Linked DNA regions of Canis lupus familiaris. The protein of the gene in region 6 interacts with the protein of the main gene of each other region in a biochemical or structural test. Links are inferred from orthologs where the notes say so. Each region holds a gene or a part of one and is shown on either strand. Other genes may lie near its edges.

Evidence for each region.
Region 1: of the proteins of PRMT1 (region 6) and FBL, one has a biochemical effect on the other in vitro, tested with the Homo sapiens proteins (2 studies listed by BioGRID). The link is inferred for Canis lupus familiaris from reciprocal best matches to the Homo sapiens genes PRMT1 and FBL.
Region 2: of the proteins of PRMT1 (region 6) and UBAP2L, one has a biochemical effect on the other in vitro, tested with the Homo sapiens proteins (2 studies listed by BioGRID, with this or other methods). The link is inferred for Canis lupus familiaris from reciprocal best matches to the Homo sapiens genes PRMT1 and UBAP2L.
Region 3: the proteins of PRMT1 (region 6) and BTG2 form a complex in vitro, tested with the Homo sapiens proteins (2 studies listed by BioGRID). The link is inferred for Canis lupus familiaris from reciprocal best matches to the Homo sapiens genes PRMT1 and BTG2.
Region 4: of the proteins of PRMT1 (region 6) and FUS, one has a biochemical effect on the other in vitro, tested with the Homo sapiens proteins (3 studies listed by BioGRID). The link is inferred for Canis lupus familiaris from reciprocal best matches to the Homo sapiens genes PRMT1 and FUS.
Region 5: the proteins of PRMT1 (region 6) and HABP4 form a complex in vitro, tested with the Homo sapiens proteins (2 studies listed by BioGRID, with this or other methods). The link is inferred for Canis lupus familiaris from reciprocal best matches to the Homo sapiens genes PRMT1 and HABP4.

Annotation. Positions count from the first base shown.
Region 1 is NC_049222.1:114,418,048-114,422,042, forward strand, and holds the start of FBL (rRNA 2'-O-methyltransferase fibrillarin), read left to right. Parts: upstream 1-1,195; 5' UTR 1,196-1,341; coding exon 1,342-1,351; intron 1,352-3,995.
Region 2 is NC_049228.1:42,959,714-42,963,682, reverse strand, and holds the end of UBAP2L (ubiquitin-associated protein 2-like), read left to right. Parts: intron 1-610; coding exon 611-678; intron 679-1,416; coding exon 1,417-1,614; intron 1,615-2,008; coding exon 2,009-2,059; intron 2,060-2,879; coding exon 2,880-2,975; 3' UTR 2,976-3,469; downstream 3,470-3,969. UniProt on the Homo sapiens protein: Recruits the ubiquitination machinery to RNA polymerase II for polyubiquitination, removal and degradation, when the transcription-coupled nucleotide excision repair (TC-NER) machinery fails to resolve DNA damage.
Region 3 is NC_049259.1:667,098-671,362, reverse strand, and holds the start of BTG2 (protein BTG2), read right to left. Parts: upstream 2,801-4,265; 5' UTR 2,748-2,800; coding exon 2,594-2,747; intron 1,280-2,593; coding exon 945-1,279; 3' UTR 1-944. UniProt on the Homo sapiens protein: Anti-proliferative protein; the function is mediated by association with deadenylase subunits of the CCR4-NOT complex. Activates mRNA deadenylation in a CNOT6 and CNOT7-dependent manner. In vitro can inhibit deadenylase activity of CNOT7 and CNOT8.
Region 4 is NC_049227.1:17,230,614-17,234,617, reverse strand, and holds the start of FUS (RNA-binding protein FUS), read left to right. Parts: upstream 1-1,204; 5' UTR 1,205-1,326; coding exon 1,327-1,339; intron 1,340-2,905; coding exon 2,906-2,930; intron 2,931-3,023; coding exon 3,024-3,178; intron 3,179-4,004. UniProt on the Homo sapiens protein: DNA/RNA-binding protein that plays a role in various cellular processes such as transcription regulation, RNA splicing, RNA transport, DNA repair and damage response. Binds to ssRNA containing the consensus sequence 5'-AGGUAA-3'.
Region 5 is NC_049222.1:70,930,740-70,934,239, forward strand, and holds part of HABP4 (intracellular hyaluronan-binding protein 4), read right to left. Parts: intron 1,143-3,500; coding exon 971-1,142; intron 1-970. UniProt on the Homo sapiens protein: Ribosome-binding protein that promotes ribosome hibernation, a process during which ribosomes are stabilized in an inactive state and preserved from proteasomal degradation.
Region 6 is NC_049222.1:107,533,427-107,537,403, reverse strand, and holds the start of PRMT1 (protein arginine N-methyltransferase 1), read left to right. Parts: upstream 1-1,177; 5' UTR 1,178-1,240; coding exon 1,241-1,276; intron 1,277-3,453; coding exon 3,454-3,507; intron 3,508-3,714; exon of another isoform or gene 3,715-3,812; coding exon of another isoform or gene 3,813-3,830; intron 3,831-3,977. UniProt on the Homo sapiens protein: Arginine methyltransferase that methylates (mono and asymmetric dimethylation) the guanidino nitrogens of arginyl residues present in proteins such as ESR1, histone H2, H3 and H4, FMR1, ILF3, HNRNPA1, HNRNPD, NFATC2IP, SUPT5H, TAF15, EWS, HABP4, SERBP1, RBM15, FOXO1, CHTOP, MAP3K5/ASK1, MICU1 and NPRL2.

The DNA.
Region 1 (3,995 bases), about 6.9 Mb from region 6:
GGGCTGCTGCCTTGGGCCTGGGAGGGGTGGCTGATTATGTACCTGGGAGCCGGGAGGGGTTTGAGGATAGCACACTCTCTCAGGAATTTCGGAAGCAAGGTTTCCAGCACCTTGAGGGGGTAGCTATTGTTGGGAAAAGGGCACTTATTACCGTCTAATAAAACCTGAGTCATGAGACCCTTCAGATGTACCTCGGTGGGCCACGTGCTTGGGGGATGATTGCCAACATGTATCTTGGAGACTTAGAAATAAAGGAAATTTCTTTTTCTTTTTTAAATTTTATTTATTTATTCATGAGACACAGAGAGAGAGAGAGAGGCAGAGGGAGAAGCAGGCTCCATGCAAGGAACCCGATGTGGGACTCGATCTTCCATCTCCAGGATCACGCCCTGGGCGAAGGCAGGCGCTAAACCGCTGAGCCACCCAGGGATCCCAGAGATAAAGGAAATTTCTAAAGGAATTTTTTTATGTTAAAGTAGACTCACAGGATCCTGGGGGTCAGGCTAATATTGCCTTTTGCCCTTAACAAAGTATTAACATCGAGGCAGTTGAGTCCATAGAGGACTGTCCCTCTGCCTGTCTCAAGGACTTGTCAATGTGCTGCCCTGGGCCGGTGCTTTGTCCTCAGCTAGTCCTCTGTTCCTCCATCAAAAGCACTTTTATTGCCTTCTAATAACTTAGTTGGTGTCTGTTCCTCCCACTAGAAGATGAACTCCGGGGATCCCTGGGCGGCCCAGCGGTTGAGCGTCCGCCTTCCGCCCAGGGCGTGATCCTGGGGTCGCGGGATCGAGTCCCGCGTCGGGCTCCCTGCATGGAGCCTGCTTCTCCCTCTGCCTGTGCCTCTGCCTCTCTCTCTCCGTGTCTATCATGAATAAATAAATAAATCTTAATAAATAAATAAATAAATGCTTAATCGACTGCATATGTGTGAGCCCAGAATCGTCCGTGTTCGTCGGGTGGAAATGGGTCAGGGAAAGCTTTCGGGTGTAGACCTTAGGAAGTTAATCACAAACAGAGCAGAGGGGCAGCAGGGAGCACAAGAGACGAGCCCCGGCTCCGGGGAGGATCGCACGCCCAAGAGAAGGCGGGAAGCGCGCTCAGCGTCGCGATGGACGCGCCTAAGGCCGCCCACGGGGGCGGCGCCCTGAGAGGCTTGCGAAGCCCCGCCCACAGCGCGCGCGCGGGGCTCCGGACGCGGAAGGAGCTCCGAGGGGCGGGGCTGCGAGGTTACGTCACGCGCCGTGCGTCGCCGCGCGTGCGCTCCTTTCCACGTGCGAAAGCCCCAGACTCGTGTAGTCCCGGCCGCCGCGGAGTCCTGAGCCGCGGGGCTGAGCTCTCGCCATGAAGCCAGGTGCAGGCCGGGGTTGAGGGCCGGGGTCGGGGACTGGGGGCCGGCGGGAGCCCGAGGGGCGGGGCCCCGGCCTAGGGGCAGGGGGTCCGGCCGCTAGTGGGGAGGGGGTCCTGGTTCCGGTCGCCCGTGGCGGTGGCGAGGGGGTCTTGGCTCCTCCCTGTGAAGCGACGCTGAGTCCGGGGTGCGGGTTCCTGGTCTGGGGGTGTGTGACTGGCTTCGGAGGTCACGGTCGTGAGTCGGGGGTCCTGGGTTTGGAAGGGGGTTCCTGAGCTAGGATTCGACTCCCTGAGGCCGTCATTAGGGGTCCCGGTTATTGGGCTGGGGGTGGCAGTCGGGACAACCGACCCAGAGTCTGGATCCAGGCGTCTGGGGTCTTGGATCTCTGGCTGCGGGATTTGGGGATTATGTGTTGGCTCGGAGGTGAGTCCCGATTTGGGGTCGGGGAGAAGCCCCGTTTGCTTCGCGTGTCGCCGCAACCAGAGCCCCCTTAGCTCCCAGACCAGCTTCTCAGAGAGGGCCGTAGTGAATGAGGACTCCCGGCTTGGGAGTGTGTGGCCCTTTCTGCCCCACTTTCCCGCTCTCTACTCTCCCGAGGGGCGGGTCTCCGAGGTGTGAGTGATCGTGATGCTCAACTCGCGGTGAGATGAACCTTCACGAGCCCAAGACGGGCTTAGCGTGGGGTGGGGGAGGGAGATAGTCACAGGACGCGTGAGTGATTTTATTCATTTGATTTTCCCCGAGATTCTGGTGAACCCACCCCGCCTCCCCCGTTGGTAGATCGATGAGAGGGCAGGCTTTGACAGAAGAAAGATCTCAGTTCAAAACTTCAGCACTAGCTTTGGTTCTTAAGTTGCAGCGTGACCTTGGGCAAGTGGCTTTACTTCTCTGTTTTCTCGTTTGTAAAATGGCGCCCAGTTATAATTTAGCAAGATCACGTTAAGAAAAAGTACATATTGTGGTAATCTCTTTGCAATAGATTAAGTGTACAAATAAATCAACAGGTTGGCATATGTGATGTTATATATACATGTCAGTTATAGTTCAATAAGGCCGAGGGGGAAAAGCACAGGACTTGACATAATAGTATTTGTCTCCACCTCCTGTTATCTTTATCATTCCTCTCAAGAGGCACAAAATTAGGGTCTTTCTTCCTGGTGACTTGGGGCTTCCTAAATCAGGCAATGCCCCTCCCCACAACTTGCTTCGCTAGAGTTTGGGGAAATCTTCCACTGTGACCCAGAAGGTCTGTTTCCTAGTACAGGTCTTTGTTTTGCACTTTGCACTTCCTTTTTCTCCCACCCTCCCTGCGTGTGTGGAGAGATGGGGTCATCTGGTGGAGGGGGAGGGTGGGTTTCTTCAGGAGAAAGAAGACCTGATGACCTGATGAAATGATGGGCGGGGAGGCAATGCTGGACTGTGTCTCTCCATCATACCCCGGCATGCCTGCAGGCACCCTACAATTTGATTCCCCCAGGAATGGAGGATATACCTTCCGCCCAACCATTCCCTCATTGTGTTAGGATATGAAGCTGCAGCAGTTAAGAGTCAGCTCTTCACTAAGGGTTTGAGTCTGACAGAGAAGAAGCCCTGGGGAGATTTTGAGCAGGGACAGAATGCTGTCTGATTGACACATTTAAAAGGATCCTTATTGTTTTTTTATGTAAAGGGCATCAGGGGAGCACAAGTGGAAGCAGGTGCATTAGCAGGAAACTTGTGGTGATTTAGTAGGAGATGATGTGGCTTGGGCTAGGGTGGTATTAGTGGACCTGCCTGACAAATTGTCACACTTTGGAAATATATTTTGAACATAAAGCCGACAGCTTGTATGTGGGTATAAGAGAGATCAAGGATACCTCAGGGTGTGGACACATGTACCTGGAAGGATGGAGTGTCCATTTTTGAGATGGGAAGGTTCTAGGAGGAGAGCAGGGTCTAAACCTGGGGGTCCGTGGAACTTCCTCCCAAAACTTCTGGAAATGTGTGTGCAAACGTGTGTTTTCCTGAGGAGTTGGTACTTCTGGTACATTTTTGTAAGCTCCCCTGGACCTGAAATGAATAGATATGTTTTGAGTACCTAGAACTGCAAGTTGACACTCATGCCCCCAGGTCCCCTAGCTATGCCCACACTTCTCAGGTCACTGTTCCATCAGGCCTGGGATGAGAGTCCCTTCAGCCTAGTGATTTCTCCCCTAAGTGGAAGGACAGGGGGACTCTCCTTCCCCTCATTAAAATACTCCTGTTCAAACTGTGTACCAGGCAGTGTGTTGAGGGAAGTGCTTTGTGTGTATTAAGACATTTTTTTCCTACAATGTGTGATTGTTATCGCCGTATCTCTGTCTTACAGGTAAAGTTTTCAGGATTCCCATGAACCTTCCCTACTCTCTAGGGCCGTGAGTGGCATCTCCATCGCCCTGTACGGGACACATGAACTGATTGAGGGGCGGGGACTGGGGCTCCCTGAATGAACAGAGAGAGTGCTTCCCCCGCCCGGGGCAGAACCCAGGGATTTAAGAGTCATCAGCAGACAGCTCACTTAATATTTATTGAGCCCACACTTTGTGCCAAATGTTGTGCATGGTGCTGGGGATGCAGAGTGACCAAAAGTATTAAAACATCCCTGTCCCTTGGGATGCTGGTGGGGAAG
Region 2 (3,969 bases), on a different chromosome or scaffold from region 6:
TAGGCTTAAATTAGTTAGCTGGAAGTGCACCTTTGCATCAGCTCGTTAAGTCAGAAGTACATAGCCGAGAAGAGCCAAGACTGGAGCAGCCGGGCCAGGGAAGCTGAGACTCCCAAGAACAGACCACGCTCTTGGGGCTGGACTGGATTGCTCCTTGAGCACTTTTCTTATGCTGTGAAAGCACAGATCCTGAGCCCAAAGGTCTCTTCTGAACAGGAAGAGCCCAGATTACCTATCTTAGGAGCAGGACTGGGTGGAGTCTGGGTGGGTTGATTTGAAATGGACATTAAAATTTTATTACATTTCTTTTCAGCTTTGGCACAAAAGTGTTTTGAAAACTATATGCTAGTGAGATTTGGCTATATCCACTTGCCCCACAAAAAGTAGCTCAGCTCACTTTCTCACATACATTCTCAGTACATAACCTGGAAAGGACAAGAGATTTGGGTCATGAGCTCTCATCTCTCTCGGTGCTGACCTGAGCTGGAAAAACAGACCAGAGTCCCCTTGCAGTGTGGTAACTAGAAAGGCCGCACACGCCATCTCCTTGTCTAGAGAGGGGCCAGCAGCGAGCCCAGCTAATCCTCCTGTCTGTTTCCTCCTCCCCCAGGTGTATCAGTCACCTCCAGTAACACGGGCGTGCCAGATATCTCGGGTTCTGTGTACTCCAAAACCCAGGTAGGTGCCTAGAAGTGGAAAGAGATGGGCATAGAGGAGGTGGTGTTGCAGTGACAGAAGTCCAGTGAACAAGCACGACCCCAAGAGGTGTAGGAAACCTGTCCTCGAAGATGAGTGGTCTCTAGATTTCAGTTTCTCAAAGAACTTTAAATTTAGCTCTCTGAGAAAGGCAAGAGAAGTGTGCCAGGAAGGTAAGGCGTGGCAGGTGGCTGTGATGTGTCTTGAGACTTACTGTGGCAACTGTCCTTTCTTTCCATACCACCAGCCTTTTTGCAACTTTCCAAGAGAATGGAATGAAGGGAAACTAGTTCCGTTCTTTGTAAAAACAAAAGGTGGGAACGGAAGAGTGCATCTGAACTATTAAGCCTGATACATGCAGTGTTCGGAGTTATGGTGGAGCACTTGGTGACCGAGACCTTTGCCACCAGGATGCCCGAGCTGCACGGTGGGGGTGGTTTGTGATGGTAGAGTCCCAGAGCACGCTCACAGCTGTCCTCTCCTGCTGTGCTGACAGCTGGGAGTCAGCACCCCTGGGTTATGTGTGAGCAAAGATCAGAATGAGTGAGTACTTCTCTCAGGATCCCACAGCCCTTGGAGAACAGAGCAGACCCGCTCACGTGCCTTTAGTGCTGCTGTTCTGCTGCATACTGCTCTTGGGGGGTGGGGGACTTGGGCTCTGAAACTCCAGGGCTTGGTTTGCTGACCCCTTTTACTGTCTCTCCCCATCCCTCTGGATAGCAGTCCTTTGAGAAACAAGGTTTTCATTCCGGTACTCCTGCTGCCTCCTTCAACTTGCCTTCAGCCCTAGGAAGTGGGGGGCCCATCAATCCGGCCACAGCTGCTGCCTACCCACCTGCCCCCTTTATGCACATTCTGACCCCCCATCAGCAGCCGCACTCCCAGATCCTCCACCATCACCTGCAGCAGGATGGCCAGGTAATAGCCCTCCCCCTCTCCTCTCCCTTCCTCTTCCTTCCTGTCCCCTACAACTGCCTCCCTTTCCTTCTCTTACCCTTCCTCACAACCACCTTCACCTACCCCTCCCAGCGCCAGCCATGGGCACACAGCACATACACACACAAGTGCACATAACACCAGCTGCCGGCAGAGGAGATGTCAGAGAAGGGGCCAGGCTGAAATTTCCTTTGGGGCCTTTCTCTTCTGCCTCCTATAACACAGCTGCCTCATCCCATCAGACCTGGGTCACGCCTCCCCTCCAACCTCTCCCAGCCTCCCCCATTCCCTGACATTGTAGCTTTCCCTTCTAATGGTGGAGTTCTATTGTCAAAGTTTGTCCCTTTATTTTCCATATATCCTGGTTCTGCCTCAGCTACCATATTTGCAGATGATTCTCTGTTGCCAGCGCCAGCAGGAGGAGCAGGTAATGAAACTGAATGATGATGTGCTTGAACCCACTCCTTTCCAGCCCCCATTTCACCTCCACAGCGTCAGGGAACTTGGAAAGGCTGCACGGTCACAGATCAGGACACACAAACACAGACACCTCGCTGAGCTCTCTGGCCTCCCATTCCTCTCTTGTCCTCCCTCCCCAGCGCCCTCTTTCTTTCTGCCCTTCCCTGACTCTGGAAGCACTTGGTTACTGGAATGGAAAGGATTCTTGGGGCAGCCTCTGGAGCCTGGGGCCTCAGACTGTCTCTCCTACCTCACCTGCAGTGGGCTCTCAGCTGTGCTCTGTGGTAGGGGTGGGGAGCTTGGGGTGGTACAAGTGACCTCTCCTCCATCACAGGTGGCTGAGGAGCTGGGATAAGACAGCTTTCCAAATTGAGGTATTCATGGGATTGATGAAAATGAAATCTCCGTGTGATCACTCCTCTCCAAGAGGCTGTGATTCTCTCTAGAGAGAGAGAGCCTTTTCTCAGAGCAGTGTAGGTGGGAGTGGAGGGAGAAAGTGGAATTGAAAGTGGGGAGAACTCATTCACTGTCTTGTCTCCAAAAGGTATTCTGCCGTCTTTATGTTGTTCCCCTGTTCAAAGCTTGAAAATGCTCTCTTCCATGTCACAGGTCCTCTAGCACCTATAGAAACCAAATTTTCTGTGGTGGGGAAGTAAACTTCAGAGTCATTTCTAAGCAAGGGGAGTGGGAGAGCAAGACAGTTTCCAGAGCTCTACCTGCAGATGTCACAGATTTGTCCCACTAACCAGACACCTTTTTCCTCCTCCTCATCATCCCATTCCCTGCAGACGGGCAGCGGGCAACGTAGCCAGACCAGCTCCATCCCGCAGAAGCCCCAGACCAACAAGTCTGCCTACAACAGCTACAGCTGGGGGGCTAACTGAGGCCTGACCCCCCTCCTGCCCGGCAACCACGGAAACGGCATCAGAGAGAGAGGAAGGGGGGGTTCCGCTGCCCCTACCTCCAGTGTCCCACCCTATGCCTCAGCTTCATGTCTGTCCCGTCCCCATACCACCCCTACTCTGTTGTATGTATTATAGGATTTGTATTTTCTCCTTTTTTTTCCCCCTTTCCTCTCCTCCTCCCCCCTTGCATTCAAGATTATGAAACTTTGCTGTGGGCCCCGCCTTCCTTCTCCTCCTGTTCACCCTGGTGGTGTATAGGTGAGGTGGGGCAGGGGGACCCCCAAATATATATCAGCCCAACAGCCCTACGTCTCCTCCTTTATTATTAGGAAACAAAACAACAACAAAATGGCGTCATGAATATGAACAGCATTGTCAGATGAATTAGTTGAAGTGTTTTTTTTTTGTACTGTGTCCTCGAATTTAATGGATTAATGTGTCTTGTATATATAAAAAGAAAACCTCTACCTTCAGCCTCTGCCCGTTCTTGCTCATTCTAAGACAGTCTGGTCAGCCAGCTCGGTGAATGAATATTCCGTTCCAGCTGGGCCCCTGGCAGGCTCTGGAGGCCCCAGAATAAAGAGAGCTTCTGCCTTCACCTGCCCTGCTGGGATTCCCTCTCCTCCTTCCCCAGGGGCTTCACAGCCTAGAAGGAGCTGCTGCAAATTTTCATTTCCTCCAGAAGCTGCTTCCTCTGCAGATTTCAGGCTGTGACAGGAATGGACAGCAGACACAGGGTAGAAAGCTGGAGAGTGGGTTTGGGGAGCGGTCGTGTACTGTAGATGGTCCAGGACAATGGTGGGGGGGCATGCAGTTCCTGCTTCTTGAGTGCTGCCGGCCCCTTGAAAAGGAGGGGTCAGGAGACCAGGGCCGGGGTGCAGGGAGGGTGGGGGCGCAGGAAAGGAAAGGCTTGAAAGTCAGGGGGCAGGCAGAGGGTTACTTACAGCTCCAAACTCCTCCCCCGGCAAAGCTT
Region 3 (4,265 bases), on a different chromosome or scaffold from region 6:
CCCAGAGCTTTTGAGCCAACTCTTGAAGGGTTAATGGCAGCAGCATCAGGACTTTCCTGTGGTTCCAAAAAGAAGGATTTTGGCCAAAAACAAATATCCCCAGTGGATACTCTTTGGGTCCCAAAATTCCATTGCAAATCATCCCCAAATTATTCAGCACACATACTCACACACAGAGCAGCACATAGCAAAGCGAAGGTTTTGTGCAGAGTACCCTTCCATCCCAACCCCAATAACCTCTAACTCCTGCCTTACTCCCCTGACCCCCATAAAACAAAAAGCTTTTGTTTCCTGCCTGGGAAGCAACATCTACAGGCCCCTGAGCATAGAATCAGAAACAAGTCATGATTTCAAGAAAAGTTGCTTAGGACAGAAGCGATCAGGAGAGGCCTTTTCACTCTGCCCTGGATCTCACTGGAAAAATAAAAGATAAGATTAGACAACAAAGCATAACTGAAGTCCAGGCTCAAATGCTCCTGAGGAGAGGGGCCAGGGATGCAGATGTCCTGCTCAGGACAGCAAGAGGTCTGGATTCGGCCTTTCTCCCTACCGCAGGGCAGCTCTTGACCCGTTCTCATTCACAGTTGCTAACCTTGCTTGCTCCCTCTCATATCTTCCTGGGGAGGCCAGCCAAGCTTCTCCCGCCTCGCCCTGGTCAGGCCCACCCCCTTGTAGGCAGGCACTGGCTCCCAGACTCCAGCCCCAACAGTTCTCTCCAAAGGCACCTGGGGAGACCACTTCCAAGCAGCTCCCTTTAAGGATTTTTTTCTTTAAAAAAAAAAATCTTTTGGGTTTTTTTTCTCTTTTCTTAAAAAAAAAAAATATATATATATATATATATATATCTTCATTTAAAATACAGTCCCCCAGGTTGAGGTATTCAGTGGCCTGTTGTCACGGCAGAATGAGTACAGTAGAGTGCCTGGTCAGGGGTGGCAGGGGATCTAACTGGAGACTGCCATCACATAGTTTTTCGAGGGGCTGCTCCGGCCCAGCATCATTTGGTTCTTGCAGGTGAGGAGCCCATAGGAGGCAGCCACAGGGGCCTCCTCGTACAGGACGCAGATGGAGCCATCCTCCCCGATGCGGTAGGACACCTCATAGGGGTCCACCCACAGAGTCAGCTCACTGGGCAGCAGCCGGTGCAGCTGGGGCTGGCTGAGTCCGATCTGGCTGGCCACCTTGCTGATAATGGGGTCCATCTTATGGTTGATGCGAATGCAGCGGTAGCCTGAGCCCTTGGATGGCTTCTCAGGAAACCAGTGGTGTTTGTAGTGCTCTGTGGGGATGGAACAAAAGGGAGATGGCTTGGTTAGAGTAGCTGGGCTGTGGAGGCTACCACAAGGGTGGGATGGGAATGAAGGGATAGAGTAGAGGAAGGAACCCAGAGATTTTAAGTAAGCAACGTGGTTTCTCATGAGTTCCAGGACCCTCCTGGAACCCTCCTGCCACCGAAGCAGAGGAAATTATATGGGATTCCTTCCTCACTCCTTCTAGGCAAGGATGTGAGTGTATATGGGGAGGGAGTCCCCATAGTTCTGGGGCAATCCCAAGCAGACAGTGTATTGCTGTTAGCACACACACACACACACACACACACACCCTCCGGTTAAGAAGGAGGGGTGAGACCCGAGGACATGTCCAGGCAGTGCTCCTGGAGACAGATGAGCTGAAGTTGCAAGGCCGGGAAGGCTGCCATCATTGCTGTGGATCCACAGCAAGTCACTGTGTCTCCCACCCTGGGCCTCAGAGGCTCCCTCTTGCCTCCCTCAAAAGCCAGAGACCCTCTCTGCAGTGGCTAGGGAGCCAAAGCTGGGTTGTTTTTGATGAAACGTATGTTGCTCCTCAGAAGGCAGGATCTGTGTGGGCAAGTTCGGAGATGGCTATCGCTGCCCCGAGCCCAGTGCCGAACCCGCTAGAACAGCTGAGATAGGTCTCCCCCGGTTGCTTATCTGTCGTCAGCCCCAGCACACAGGCCAGCAGGGCGCAGTTACTACCTGCAAGGCTTTCTCAGCACCGTAACGAGGGGCAGATGGCTAAGGGGAGCCAAAGTGTACAGACGGGGCCGGGATTCCAACTTCCAGCAAGTAGCAGCCGGCCCGGGCGCGGCGCAGCCCGAGGACCCACGGCAGATCCACGGCCGAGGATCCAGGTCGCTGAGAAGCTCAGTGGCACCTTCTCGCCCCACAACGACCCGGTGGCTGGCGGGACTGCCCGTCCGCGCCGCCCCGGGGAATCTCGCTAAGGGCGGGGAGCTCGCACCCGCCCGCAGGCGCCTCTTCTCCGGGGGCAAGGGCCGGTGCCTGCGCCCGCGACCGAGCGGAGGAGCGCGCCGGGCCAGGGCCGTCCCGGGGGGACCCGAGCGCAGGGCCGGGCGGGGCGTGACCCAGGGCAGCGGAGGCCCGCGCCGGCCGCCCTCGGGGCTGGGGGAGCCCGAGGCCCGGAGCTGCTCGCGACAGCCCTGCCCTAGGAGGAAGGCAAGGCGGCGCGGGCGGGACGCGGGACGCGGGACGCGGGACGCGGTGGGGGTCGCGGCCGGGGTCGGGGCCGGCGGCGGGGCCGCGCGGACGCCGGGACGTCGGCGAGCGCTCACCGGTTAGCGCCTCCTGGAGGGCTCTGCTGAAGACCTTTAGCCTCTGCTCGCCCACGCAGCCCCGGGTGCTCAGGAGGCTGGAGACGAAGCCCGCGGCGGCGGCGATCTCCGGGAGCACGTCTGCTCTGCTCGCGGTCCAGCGGGCCCGGCTCATGTCGCGCGCAGCTCGGGGGCGGCGGCGGCGGCGGCGGCGGCGGCGGCGAGCGCAGGGGAGGCCTCGGCGGGACGGTCGGCGGCGCAGGGCTCGACTCTGCGGGACTTGCCCGGGACGCGCCTTTCATACTGTTCCGAGAGGCGGGGGCGCCCGCGGCGGCCCCCATTGGCAGCGGCCAGCGGATGGGGCGGGCTCGGAGGCCGCCGCGCCCCGCCCCGCGCGCCCCGCCCCGCCCCGCCCCGCCCCGCCCCGCCCCGCCCCGCCGCCTCCTCGGCGCTGAGGTCATCGCCCGCTGACGTCACTGCTGGGAACCCGAGCGGCGCTCGCCGGCCGTGGGCGGCGCGGGGAGAGGGGGGCGGCCGGCTCGCCCCAACCCGGGAGTGCCTGCGGCCCTGCCCCGCCAGTCCCGCGACGCGGAGGTCACCCGCCGCCTCTTCCAAGAAGCTTCGCGGACACCCCCTCTCCCACGAGCTCCCTTTTCTGGCGCCCACGTTTTCCAGTGTCAGAACCACTCACCCGGACGCTTTGTCACCGCTTTACCGCTGTGCTGCGTTTGTGAAATAGGCTTCCCTGGGCTCTTCGGAGATGGGAACCAAACCTTCTGTTTACTTCGGGGATAGTCCCGCCTCCAGAAAAGCTCTGTGCTTCCTCTGCACCAGCGCCTTTCTCTTGCCCAGCTGCGTCCCTGTCCCACCTCTCTGACGGCCAGGGCCAGGGCGATGTCGTAAGACTTTTCTGTCGGCCCAACTTATCTTCCTTGCTCTCGCTGTCTTTTAAATGCCAACATTTTAAAATAAGTGTCCAGCTCTCAACTGCACACAACTTCCCATCCACTTCTTTCTCCTTCCCTCTTCCCCCAGCCCTCTCTCTCCTGTCCATCCTTCTTATGGACTGAAGTTCTTGTAAACACGGTCTCCTGGGTAAAGAATCTCCAGGGTCCACATGCAGCACTGGGCCCAGCGCCTGTGATGGTGCCCGGCGCTGGGCACCATCTCCGGCGCTGGCCAGATGTCCCCTCCATCAAGCTAACTTCTAACCAACATCCTGGGGTCTGGCATAGTAGGTGCTCCATATTTATTTGCTAGGTGAGTCAAACCCAAAGGCGCCTGTAAATTCTTACTTTTCTTGAACTCTAGGTCCTGGTGACCACCTCTGGAGGCAATCCCTCCTCCTTTTCCTGGGCACCTGACGCCAGGCTTCTCAGCCTCCCTTCCCCAGCTCTGTCTGCCCTGGATCCGCTCCTGCCCCTGTTCCCTCTCTGTGTTCCCGCACTCCTTTCCCTTTTCTCTCCAATTGCCTTCCTCAGAGAAACCCTGTTTATGATGATATCCACTCTGATGTTTACTTTTTCACCCCTGACTGTCATATCTGCATAGTGTGTGTCCTTTCATCCTGCTGCTACCACCTCCTGCTCTGTCCTGCCCCTTAGGTGTCCAGCCACCAGCTCAATGTCAGTCTAAGCCCACTGTCTTCCCCAGCTACCTTCCTAGTCAAAGATACCATCACTTCCCCAGGCAC
Region 4 (4,004 bases), on a different chromosome or scaffold from region 6:
TACCTTTTCTTCACAAGATGGTGATGGGAACACAATCAATTAGCGTTGCTTTTTAAAAGATTATTTATTTGAGAGAGAGAGCGGGCACACCGCAGGAGCAGGAGCAGAGGTGGGAGCAGGGAAGAGGGGCAGAGGGAGAGGAAACCTCAAGCCATCCCCAACTGAGCGAAGAGCCAAGAGAGGGCTCAATCTCACCACCCTGAGATCACCACCTGAGCGGAAATCGAGTCCGATGCTTAATCAACTGAGCCATGCAGGCGCCCCTGAAGATTTTATTTTTAAGTCACCTCTACACCCAACGTGGGGCTGGAACTCATAACTCTGAGATCAAGTCACACACGCTCCACTGACTGCACCAGTCAGGCGCCCCTGATTGTACATTTTGAAACCACTTACACTCTCTATAAATATCAGTTATCACTGACCCTCCACGTTGGTTCCTTGGTAGGGCTTTAGGAAAAAAAAAAAAAGTTCTGCATCAGTAAAAGAAGTAAGGGAGACCCTAATCTAATCTCAACGGCTCTGACGTCCAGGAGGGCCTGGGCTTTCCCGTCCCACCGCTAAGTCAAGGGCAAAATCCAGAAGAGGTCTGGTGGGCGATCAGGGCTGGGGTCCGGGTTAAGCTCCTTTCAGGTCGGACGTCACGATCCACAATTGCTGGCAAGGACCAAGGGAGACGCAAACCAGAAAGATGATGGCAGGGGGAACCTGCGACGCGGGGCGTGTGTTGTCGGGGGGGGGGGAGGAACGTTTGAGCCGGAGAGGGAGGTTGGCGCCGCAGGGACCAAGCATCTGGTGCAGTGGAAGGGCACCGGGGCGCAGGGGCTCGCCGTCCTAGTGAAAGTGGGGCCCAGTGAAAGGGGCCAGCCGGGAGAATTTCGGTTCCCGCCCCGCGACTCCCGGCTTCGACTACACTTGCGTCCGCAGACGCCCTGGGCCCCTCGCTCCACCCCCAGGTGGGAGGGGTCAATGGACCGTACCATGATGCCCTTCTAGGGGGTGAAGGTGAGGCTTGGGCCAGTCCTGCAGGGAGAGTCAGAGTACTTTGCTAGGAAAAATAGGGTTATGTATGTTGCCTGCCAAGTTTCTTAATCGCTATGCTTCCCCTCTGTCTATGAGGATCCTCGGTACTCCCTGAGGGGTTGCAGAGTCCAGCCACGCTCCCCCCTTCCCTCTCCGCACTTCGTGCATTCCTCCGCGGTACGTAGGCGGGGGAGACGTACATAAGTCTCGACGCAGGAGGCGGGGCCGCTCAGTCCTCGAGGCGTCGGTGCTCTGCGGTGTTGGAACCTTGTTGCTTGCCGGCCTGTGCGCGCGTGCGCGGACATGGCCTCCAACGGTATGTAAGGGCGCGAGGCGGCGGCGGCGTGCCGGCCTGGGGCTTCGGTCCCTCCCAGCTGGGCTTTTTTTTTTTTTTTTCTTTTCTGATGGGACCCGGGTGGCGGATCGCGTGTAGGGTTTTCTCGCACCGCTGTGGCGGGAAGCAACGGGAGGGGTGGAGGGGGGGGGGGGAGGCCTGTGTCGCCATTTTGTTTCGCTTCTCCGGCGCCTTGCGCGTGGTAGGGGATCTTGCCGTCTCAGTGCCTTTACTTGAGGTGAGATTTGACACGGACGTTTCTTGGTAATTTGAAACGTGAGGCACGCATGGAAACGCTCGGTCCCGAAGCCTTCCCTCCCCCCCCCCCTTCCCAGCCGCGAGCTCGGGCCCCGCTTTGTCGCAGTGCTGCATCCGGGCACTCGGTGCGCGCACGCGCCCTGCTGGCCCCTCCCCCCTTTCTCGCGGCGCGAACCCCCCTCCCGCCTCGTGTTAGCCCTGCTTTTTGTCGCGATACTCTCCGCTGCAGGCTCCGTAGCGCGCGTCCGGTGTGGGCCTAGCCCCGGGGGTCCCTCGGGAAGGGGCGGGACCGCCTGCTTCCCGCCTCGGTTGCCACGCGGCCGGGGGCGGAGGCTCGGGATCGGGGCCGTGCGCCAGCTTAACGGTTTGGGGGAGGCCCCTAGGGGGTCGTCTAACGGACTTGGGACCGGGCCCGAGGGTTTTCCCGCCTAAATTTCCGCTTTCCGTGGTGGGAGTCGAGAGGAACGGCCGCCCGAGGCCACACCCTCTCCCGATCTTTTGCCCTTTTCCTGCGGGGGAAGCGCCTCGTTTCCTGTACTGAGGAGGTGATGAGTTGATCTGGGTTGGTGCGCCTTCATTGGGGGCGATTTAAAAGCGCTTTCGCGACATTTGGTTTGCCGAGACTCCCAACAGCCCTCGAGGAAGGCAATGCAGATGAGCAGACGGAATCGTTTGGAGGCACGGGGCTTGGCACTTGAGTCCCAGTTGATTGACCTCCGAAAGCGAACTCTGTGATGATCTCTGTTATTTGGGGTCGGAGAGTTCTCTTGGTTACGTGGCTTTGTACTAAAAAAGCCCACGTTGTCATTCTCCAAGATTAGGCAAAGGGTGAAGAATGGCCTCATTTGAGACCTATCTGTTCTTTGGGCTTGGTTGAGAGAGTGGAGGCCGCATCCCCCTCACTGCTGCCTTTGGCTTGCATCAAAATCTGTCCCCAGTTTGTGACTTTAACTCGACTGTTGATGATACCTTTCCCCTAGAGTAGGTAAGAAAATAAAATGTTATGTAGGTTTGTGCAGTTCCTGACATCAGTTGAATTCACAGAACATTGTAGTTTACCACCAAGATTCTTTTTTTTTTGTTTTGTTTTTGGTGAGACTTCTTGGTATCCATTGGGAGAAAACTTGATTATGACCTGCCATCTTGTCCTTCCTGTCATGAGGGAATTTCTGCCTTTTCTTGCAACATTGTTGATACTATCTGAAGGCCCCAGGGCTTGAGTTAAGAAATTTAATTCTGTTATACTCTCAAGGATGGCTGAAGGTAATGTAATTGTATTTTCTTTTGCAGACTATACCCAACAAGCAACCCAAAGGTGAGTGTTGTTTCAGGACTTCCAGTTCGTAGGGTGGCAAGGGTGGCTAAGGTATCTTTTCTTGATTCCACTGGTTTTTTTCTTTTTTTCCAGCTATGGGGCCTACCCCACCCAGCCTGGGCAGGGCTATTCCCAGCAGAGCAATCAGCCCTATGGACAGCAGAGTTACAGTGGTTACGGTCAGTCAGCAGACACTTCAGGCTACGGCCAGAGCAGCTATGGTTCTTCTTATGGACAGACCCAGAACAGTGAGTCTCTTTTAGTGGGTTACCCCGCCTCTTCCTGCTCTTTGAATGTTGCTTTTCTTAAACATTGCTGAAATGTTGAAACTGTATTTCTTTATTCGTAGTCTGTAACCCTTGAACTTTTTTTGGAGTTTGAATCTTTTCAAACAAATATTTAATTGGTTTGTAATTCTGGTTCCTTTTATTTCTGACTTTGAATTTTTCTGTTTATATTCTCCTTCCCATTTCCCTTCAGCATGACAATGAAATGTGGAGAGGAGAGTATTCCCTAAATGGAGAAAGTTTTAGGTTTTTTTTTTTTTTTTTTAAAGATTTTATTTATTTATTTATTAATTGAGAAACACAGAGGAGAGAGAGAGAGGCAGAGACACAGGCAGAGGGAGAAGCAGGCTCTGCGCAGGGAACCCAACGCGGGACTCAATCCCGGGTCTCCAGGATCACACCCTGGGCTGAAGGCAGCGCTAAACCACCAAGCCACCTGGGCTGCCCAGTTTTAGGTTTTTCATACAGGGAGGAAATGATTTGCTTAAAGATGTTTGAAGTCAGATTACTATGTATCATGGTGATACACAAACGGTAGAATGTACCTTGAGATCCTAATATGTACATAATGTGGGTTTCCCTATTTGTACTACACCCTTCTGAGAGGGTTAAAATACTTAATGAATAGGAATAGGAATCTCTTGGGATGGGATGCCTGGGTGGTTCAGCGGTTGAGCGTCTGCCTTTGGCTCAGGGCGTGACTCTGAGATCAAGTCTCACATTGGGTTCCCTGCATGGAGCCTGCTTCTCCCTCTGCCTACATCTCTGCTTCTCTCTCTTTGTGTCT
Region 5 (3,500 bases), about 37 Mb from region 6:
AGGGGATCCTGTATCATAAGTGACCCTCTAATTAAAGTATCCATTCAAAGACTAGCACTAATCAAAGTATAAATGGAAACACAGACAAATCTACAGTACAAAATTCCTGAGTTTCAAATGGAAAACCAATTAATGATACCCAGAAGAAAGGGTTTGTTCACCCCCATCATCAACATAGAGATATGTATCAAGATAAATGGCTATGACTGAATGATGTGAATTCTAAATTTTAAAATTTTAAAATGAGAATGCTTCAGGATACCTTTAAGTTCAGGAACACAAATAGAATGTGATTAAATGACACGCTGACCATCCCACACAATATAGGCTGGGAGATCTTTCCAAAGCAGAGGCCTCCAAAAAAGGACTGAACCCAAACTATGAGAATAAGGCCCTCACAAGTGAGAAGGACACTGTGAATGATCATACGGCTGACTGGCTCTCAGGGGCTCCTCCTCTTGGGGGCCTGTCTTTGGAGTCTCCGCAGTTAGGCAGAGGAAGCAGAGCTGCTGCAATTAACAGAGTACAGAACTCCAGGTTGTTTAAAATGATCAAGTACTCCCAATTAAATGTGCTTCTAAAGAGCTTGAGCTGAACCTAATCTAATCATGAAATGCAGAGCAGTTATCCTGTGAAATGGCATTGCTCAGGAAACACTGTACCTCTCTTTTGAGATAAAAATGAAATGCCATTAACATTCAGTATTTGCACAAAGCACAGCTCTGGGTTGAGCAGAAGATGCACTGTCACCATAACTGCTTTGTATGAAGTGTCAATAGGTCAAGTTCCAACTCGTTTTATGAACAATACTGATAAAATTAGGCACACATCACATCTGATTACTCCTAGGTAGAAAGCAGAACACCAACTATTAATGTCCCATTTGCACCTCAGAAGTGGAGAGGGTCCATCCAGTTCCTAGTCAGTTAATCCAGAAAATCACCTCTAGAGAAGAAAATGTCATGCTTACATCATCTCTATACTTGGATTTGTGTATCACCACTGCTTTGGAAGGGACAGTGGACTCAGGTTTTCGGATGTTAAACTCAGGCTTTGGTCTGGTCTGTTCTTGAAGATTTTTCCACTCATCGAGGGTCATCTCTTGAACTTGAGTTTCTTCTTCTAACTCCAACTCAGGAACTCTATAAAGAAGCAGAAGTTTTTGATGGTTCTTTTTTTTTTAATTTTTATTTTCATTTATGATAGTCACAGAGAGAGAGAGAGAAGCAGAGACATAGGCAGAGGGAGAAGCAGGCTCCATGCACCGGGAGCCCGACGTGGGATTCGATCTCGGGTCTCCAGGATCGCGCCCTGGGCCAAAGGCAGGCGCTAAACCTCTGCGCCACCCAGGGATCCCGTTTTTGATGGTTCTAAAATGCCTGTGTTCTCATACGCAAAGTCATTACTCTTAGTTTAGCCACTTTCATGGTCCCACATCTAATTTACATAAGGTAAAATCTCTGAACCACAAGCTTCCCTACTTTAATCATTTTATGGTATCACTGCTAACTAAAGATACTTCTTGTCTGTCTTTCCTTTTTTTAAAGTAATCTCTGTGCTCACTGTGGGGCTCACACTCACAAGCCCAAGATCAGGAGGCGGGCACATGCTTCCCCGACTGAGCCAGCTAGACACCCCACTTCCCATCTGTTTGTTTCAAAGCTGTCTTTGAAATATGGGAATATCACCATCCCATTGACATTACACTTCACCTCCAGGCATTCCCTTCCCAGATGGCATTACACACAAAATGAGATAACTGCAAAAGAAAAGGGAGAAGCTATTGAGTCAAAACAAATATAGGCAATCATGAACAGAATCATAAAATGGTGGGTTACACATACATACTTTTGTAAATATCCTCTTTGAATTCATGAGATTTTAAAAGAAAAGAGAAGACAGATATATGAGAAATAAGGCCCTCACAAATGGAAAGGACACCATGAGTGATCCTGCAGATTCAATGGACTAGAATTCAGAGCACAAAAATAAATCCTTGTATTTACAATATTTTTTTTCAAGCAGGTGCCAATGACAATTTAAAGGAGAAAAAATAGTCTTTTCAACAAATGGTGCTGGGAAAACAGGATACCCACATGCAAAAGAAGGAAGCTGGATCCCTACCTCACACCAGAAATATGAGTTAGAAATACAAACCCCTTAAAAGATGATACAGGCACCAATCTCCATGATTTAACATTAAGCAGTGGTGACACCAAAAGTGTAAGTAACAAAAGATAAAGTAGACAAACTGGACATCACTAAAACTTTTGTGCTGCAAAGGACACCGTTAAGAAGTAAAAAAAACAACTCATGAAATGGTAGAAAATATTGCAAATCATGTATCTGATAAAGGACTTACATCTTACATCTTGACTCTTACAACTCAATGAAAAGAAATAACCCAAATGGAAAATAGGCTAGATTCTGAATAGACATTTTTTCCAAAGATGATCTCAAATAACCAATAAGATGCTCAATATCATTAGCCATCAGGGAAATGCAAATCAGAACTGCAATGACACTCCACACTCAGTAGGATGATTAGAATAAAAAAGACATTTAACAAGTGCTGGTGAGGATGTGGAGAAATTGGACTCTCATACATTGCTGATGGGAATATGAAATTGTGTGGCCACTTTGAATTACAGTCCAGCAAACCCTCAAAAATTTAAACAGAGTTACCATCTGACCTAGCAATATCACTCTTACATATACACCTATGAGAAATGACAACATATGTCCATGTGAAAACACACAGCACCACAAATGGAAATTCAATAATGCTGTTTATTCATAATGCAGCATTATTCCTAATAGCCAAAAAGTAGAAACAGCATGAATGTCCATCAACTGATGCAAAGATAAACAAAATATGGGTTATCTGGGATGCCTGGGTGACTCAGCAGTTGAACATCTGCCTTTGGCTCAGGGTGTGATCCTGGAGTTCTGGGATCGAGTCCCACATCAGTCTCCTGTGGGGAGCCTGCTTCTCCCTCTGCCTGTGTCTCTGCCTGTCTCTCTCATGAATAAATAAAATCTTTAAAAAAATGTTCTGGAACCAGTAACAGTGATGGCTGCATAACACTGTGAATGTAGTAAATGTCAGTTGTACACTTTAAAATGGTTAAGCCTGTAAATTTTATTTATATGTATTTACCACCAAAAAGAAAGTATACATACATCCTATGGCATGGATGAACCCCAAAACATAATGCTAAGCGAAATAAGCCTGACCCAAAAGGACAAATATTATATTCCACTTATATGAGGTACCTAGAATTGGCAAATTCATAGAGATATAGAAGAATAGAGGTTATTAAAGGGTAAAGGGGATGGAGGAATGGGGATTTATTATTTCATGGATACAGCATTTCTCTTTGTGATGATGAAAATGTTCTGGAGATGAATGGTGGTAATGGCTGCACACGAAGTTACAGGTTCATGATATGAAAACTATTAGTGAAATCAGAAGAGAAACCTAATCATAGAGCATCCAA
Region 6 (3,977 bases):
TATATGAATACAATTATACAGTACGTTCTCTTTTGTGCATTCTTTCACTGATTTTTTTTAAAAGATTTTATTTATTTATTCATGAGAGACACAGAGAGAGAGGCAGAGACATAGGCAGAGGGAGAAGCAGCTCCCTGCGAGGAGCCCCCCGGGAGCCCCGCCCATGTAGGACTTGATCCCAGGTACCCGGTATGGCTGAGCCAAAGGCAGCCGATCAACCACTGAGCCACCCAGGCGCCCTAGGTGGATTAAATTTGAATGCATTTTCAGTTTATGATGTTTTCAATTTATCATGGGTCCCTGTAAGAGGAGGAACGCTTCCTGGAGGAGGTGGCATCGAAGGTGTGCCCCGGCTGATATATAGGAGTCGGCAGACAAAGGGAGGTGCGGGTTTTTAGCAGGGGGAGGGACTCGGCAAAGGCCAAGTGGCTTGAGTGGGGTTGTTGGATTTAAAAAACTCGGAAGTTAGGTAGAGGGCTAGGTGCTTATATGTCTCGAGGCCTGAGTCCTCTTGCTGACTTGCACCGCACACCAGACAAGCCCTCCTTTTCTCTGGACCTCTCAGGTCTCCAGTCTGTCCCTCAGGTAAATGACCACAAGCTCCCTCCTTCCTCCTGAACTTCCCCCCCCTCCCCTGCGACTGGGAGAATCCACCGAGTGGCTGAGGAGTGACTGTTCATTGAGCCAATCGCTGGAGCCTAAAGGCCCGTCTCTCCTCCCCTTCTCATGGGCCAATCGCCGCGTTCTCCTTGAGACCAGCAGCTTGACGGGGGCGGTGCAAAGGCTTCATGACGTCACGCTCAGGATAAACCAATAGCATCTATTAAGAGGCGGGTTGTTTTGATGATGGACAGCTCCCTTTCAAGATGTCCGCTTAACGCGGGGCCCGCCGGGAAGCTTTGAGGCGGTGCTGGGGGGACAGGGGCGGGAACTTCTGGTAGACTTTGCCCAATCAGCAGTCACGGTTCTTGCGATAGACGGGCAGTCTTTCCCATCCCCGTCGACTTAAGGGGGCGGGGCTCCGCACACCAGACTGGGCGGGCCCCTCAGCTTTGATGGGCGTCTCTCTTTGCCCAATTAGCAAGCGACATCCTCAGACGGGCCGCCTCCGTTGCCAATGAAATCTCCTGGCGGGGTCGTGGTGGGCGGGTCGTGGACCCTCCGGTATAAGGCGGTCCCGGGGGAGTGCGGAGAAAGGGGGGGGTCTCGGCGGCAGGAGGAGGAGTAGGTGCGGGTGAAGATGGCGGCAGCCGAGGCCGCGAACTGCATCATGGAGGTGAGCGCCTGGAGCGCTGCCGGGGGTGGGGGGCGGTTTGGGGGTCGATGTTTTGTGCCTCCGTCGTGGGGAAGGGGCCCCGAATGGGCGGATTGGGGCTGAAGGTTCTCAGCCGTACGGTGGGGACGCCGCATGCTGCGGATCGCGGGATACAGTCAGAGGTTCGGGTTTCCTAGCTTTCGGGGGTCTGCGGCACTCTGTCGAGCCGAGGGTGTCGTGCCCCCTCCCACGTGGAGGAGGGCTGGGGGCGCTTCCGGCCTGGCCCCCACGTGGCCGCGGCACGGTGGGTGGGGAGGGGGTGTGCCGTGCCCGGTGGCCCGACGGGCTCCACGTGCGGGACAAAGGCCCCGCCCCCGGCCGGGGGAGGGGCGCCCCGGGGGGGGGGCGGAGAGGAGGCTCCGACCCTCCCTCGGAGGCCCCCTGCCCTTTCCCCCGGGATCGCGACGTACCCCTCGGCGTGGGCTCACTTCTGTCCCTCCGAGAAGTAGAGTCTCTCGGGAGGGGCAGTGTAGCTCGGCCCTCCACAACCCCGTTCCCGATACCGCGGCATCTCCTTAGGCTTCGGTCCAGGTTTCGTGGACTCAGGGGTTGGGATTGGAGGAAGAGGAAGGATTGGTTCCCTCCGGGCCCCCGGTTTCCTGTCCCTGGATTCCCCCCTTCCCGGGGCTCTGGGAGCTGGGGGGATGGGGCATGCCCCTGTGACCTCCCTCCGGGTGGTGGGGGGGCCTCTGGTTGAAGGAGATTCTTCCCGATAAGGCGTCGTGCACCCCCTTGTGGCCATTTCTGGGTGTGTGGGAGGGACATCTTTTTCATGGGGCGTGTCCCAAAGCCCACCTCCCCTTTGGAGCCCTCCCGGGCTAGGGGAGGGAGAGTCTCTGCTGGGAAGAGCTTGTGGGGGAATATAAGCTACCTCCTACTGGAGACTTTTCTCTCCTCGGCGCCTAGATACGCGAAGGTGGGAGATGACCTCCCCCTTTCTGAAGCCCTGTTTGAGGGTCCTGAGCCTGGAGGCTTGAGATGGTGTCCTGAGAAGTTTGATTCTTGTGCAGCCATGTGGGCTTGGTTCCGGTGCTGTTTCAAGCTCCCTTGGGACTTGCTCGGCTGTGGTGTTAGTGGTATTGAGAAATGGGTCCCAGTGGGAAATCCCCTTACCCGTCACCCTTCTTTGTAGGTGTCCTCACTGGCTTGGGAGAATGGGGGCGGGGCTTGGAGCTGAGTGGGTCTTGTGTGTGACTTCGTGCTTCTGAGGGGCCTGGAGAGTGGTCATATCCGGAAGAGATGTCATCTGATGGGGCCTGCATGATCCCTCCTCTTACCTTGTAGCATTGGGGGCCAGCGGCCCCCAGGGGTCACTCCAATGACTTCCATCCCCCTTGGCTCTCTCCTGGACCAGAGTCTGTATGGGTGGAGGAAATATCTCTTTTAGAGGTTGCCTCAGGATTTGGCCCCACACCCCAGGGGCTTTGGGCCCTGGGATGGGTGTCAATGGGTTTGAGGGGCCAGAGTTTGGCCTCCTCCCTGGGACTCTACCTTCCTGGGAAGAGGGAACGAAGCTTGGAGATTGGCTCCAGCTGGTGGTTTTGTTTGGGGCTTCCTGAGCCCAAGGCAGGAGCTAGGGGTCAGGGTGCCAACTCTGGTAGGGGTGCCTGTGTGCCACACCTCCTTTCTGGAATCCTCTTAGACAAGAGGCTTGTTTGCAAAGGTGGTAGATGCCCAGTGGGTACACACTGCCAGCGCCCCCCCCCCCCCAGCTACTCTTGGCACCCTGGGATGGGGGTGTGTGTGTGTGTGTCAGGAAGTGTCACCTAATCTGGGGGGGATTAGATGATGAGGGGGAGTGACAGCTGGCAGTGCCTGTGTGCCTGGCGGGTGCCAGCTCCTCTGGCCTGGATGGGGGAGGTGTGTATGGTCAGGTGCCTGGCCAGAGAGGGCAACGTGGGGGCGGGCCACCATCTCTCCAGCCGTAGCTGGGACAGAACCCCATCTCTTCTCCCCCCACTTTTCCCACCCCCTTTTGAAAACAGCCCTGCCTCTTTACTCCCTCTGCCACCACTCCCCACCAAGGAAAAAGAAAATTGCAGGAAACACCCCCTCCCCTGTGAGCTGGGGTCCCCTGGCCTGGCCCTCCCCTAGCCACTCCCAGTAGCTAATCCTTTCTCCCTGTTACTCTCTCCTAGAATTTTGTAGCCACCTTGGCTAATGGGATGAGCCTCCAGCCGCCTCTTGAAGAAGTAAATATCCTTTTGTGAGACCCTTCCCCACATACATATATCTTGCCACATTATCAGGCCCTTTCTAGCAGGCTAACCATGATTTCTCTCGCTTCAAACCAGTTTACCCTGTGCCCCCAAACCGTTAGTACAAACCACCCTCCAGGTCTGTGGCTCCCATCTGGCCTCCCCAAGTACCGTGGCTACTTCCTTAACTCCATTTCCAGCCCCCCCACCTGCCCTTCCCGTGTCTGCCCCAATTCTGCCTTCCCCTCCCCTCCCCAGCTGTGGGCTGAGCTAGAGACGGGGGCAGAAAGACTGGAGAGATGGTAGGCGTGGCTGAGGTATTGGGGTGCTCCCTTGGATGGTGCTCTGGGGGGGTCCTGGAAGAGGAAAGTGGGGTTGTAAGGTTTTGGGGCTCGTGGGGGAGGCAGGACGGCAGGTGGGGCCTTTAGGGTTGCCATGGTATGATTGGGGGGAGGATCTGTTCT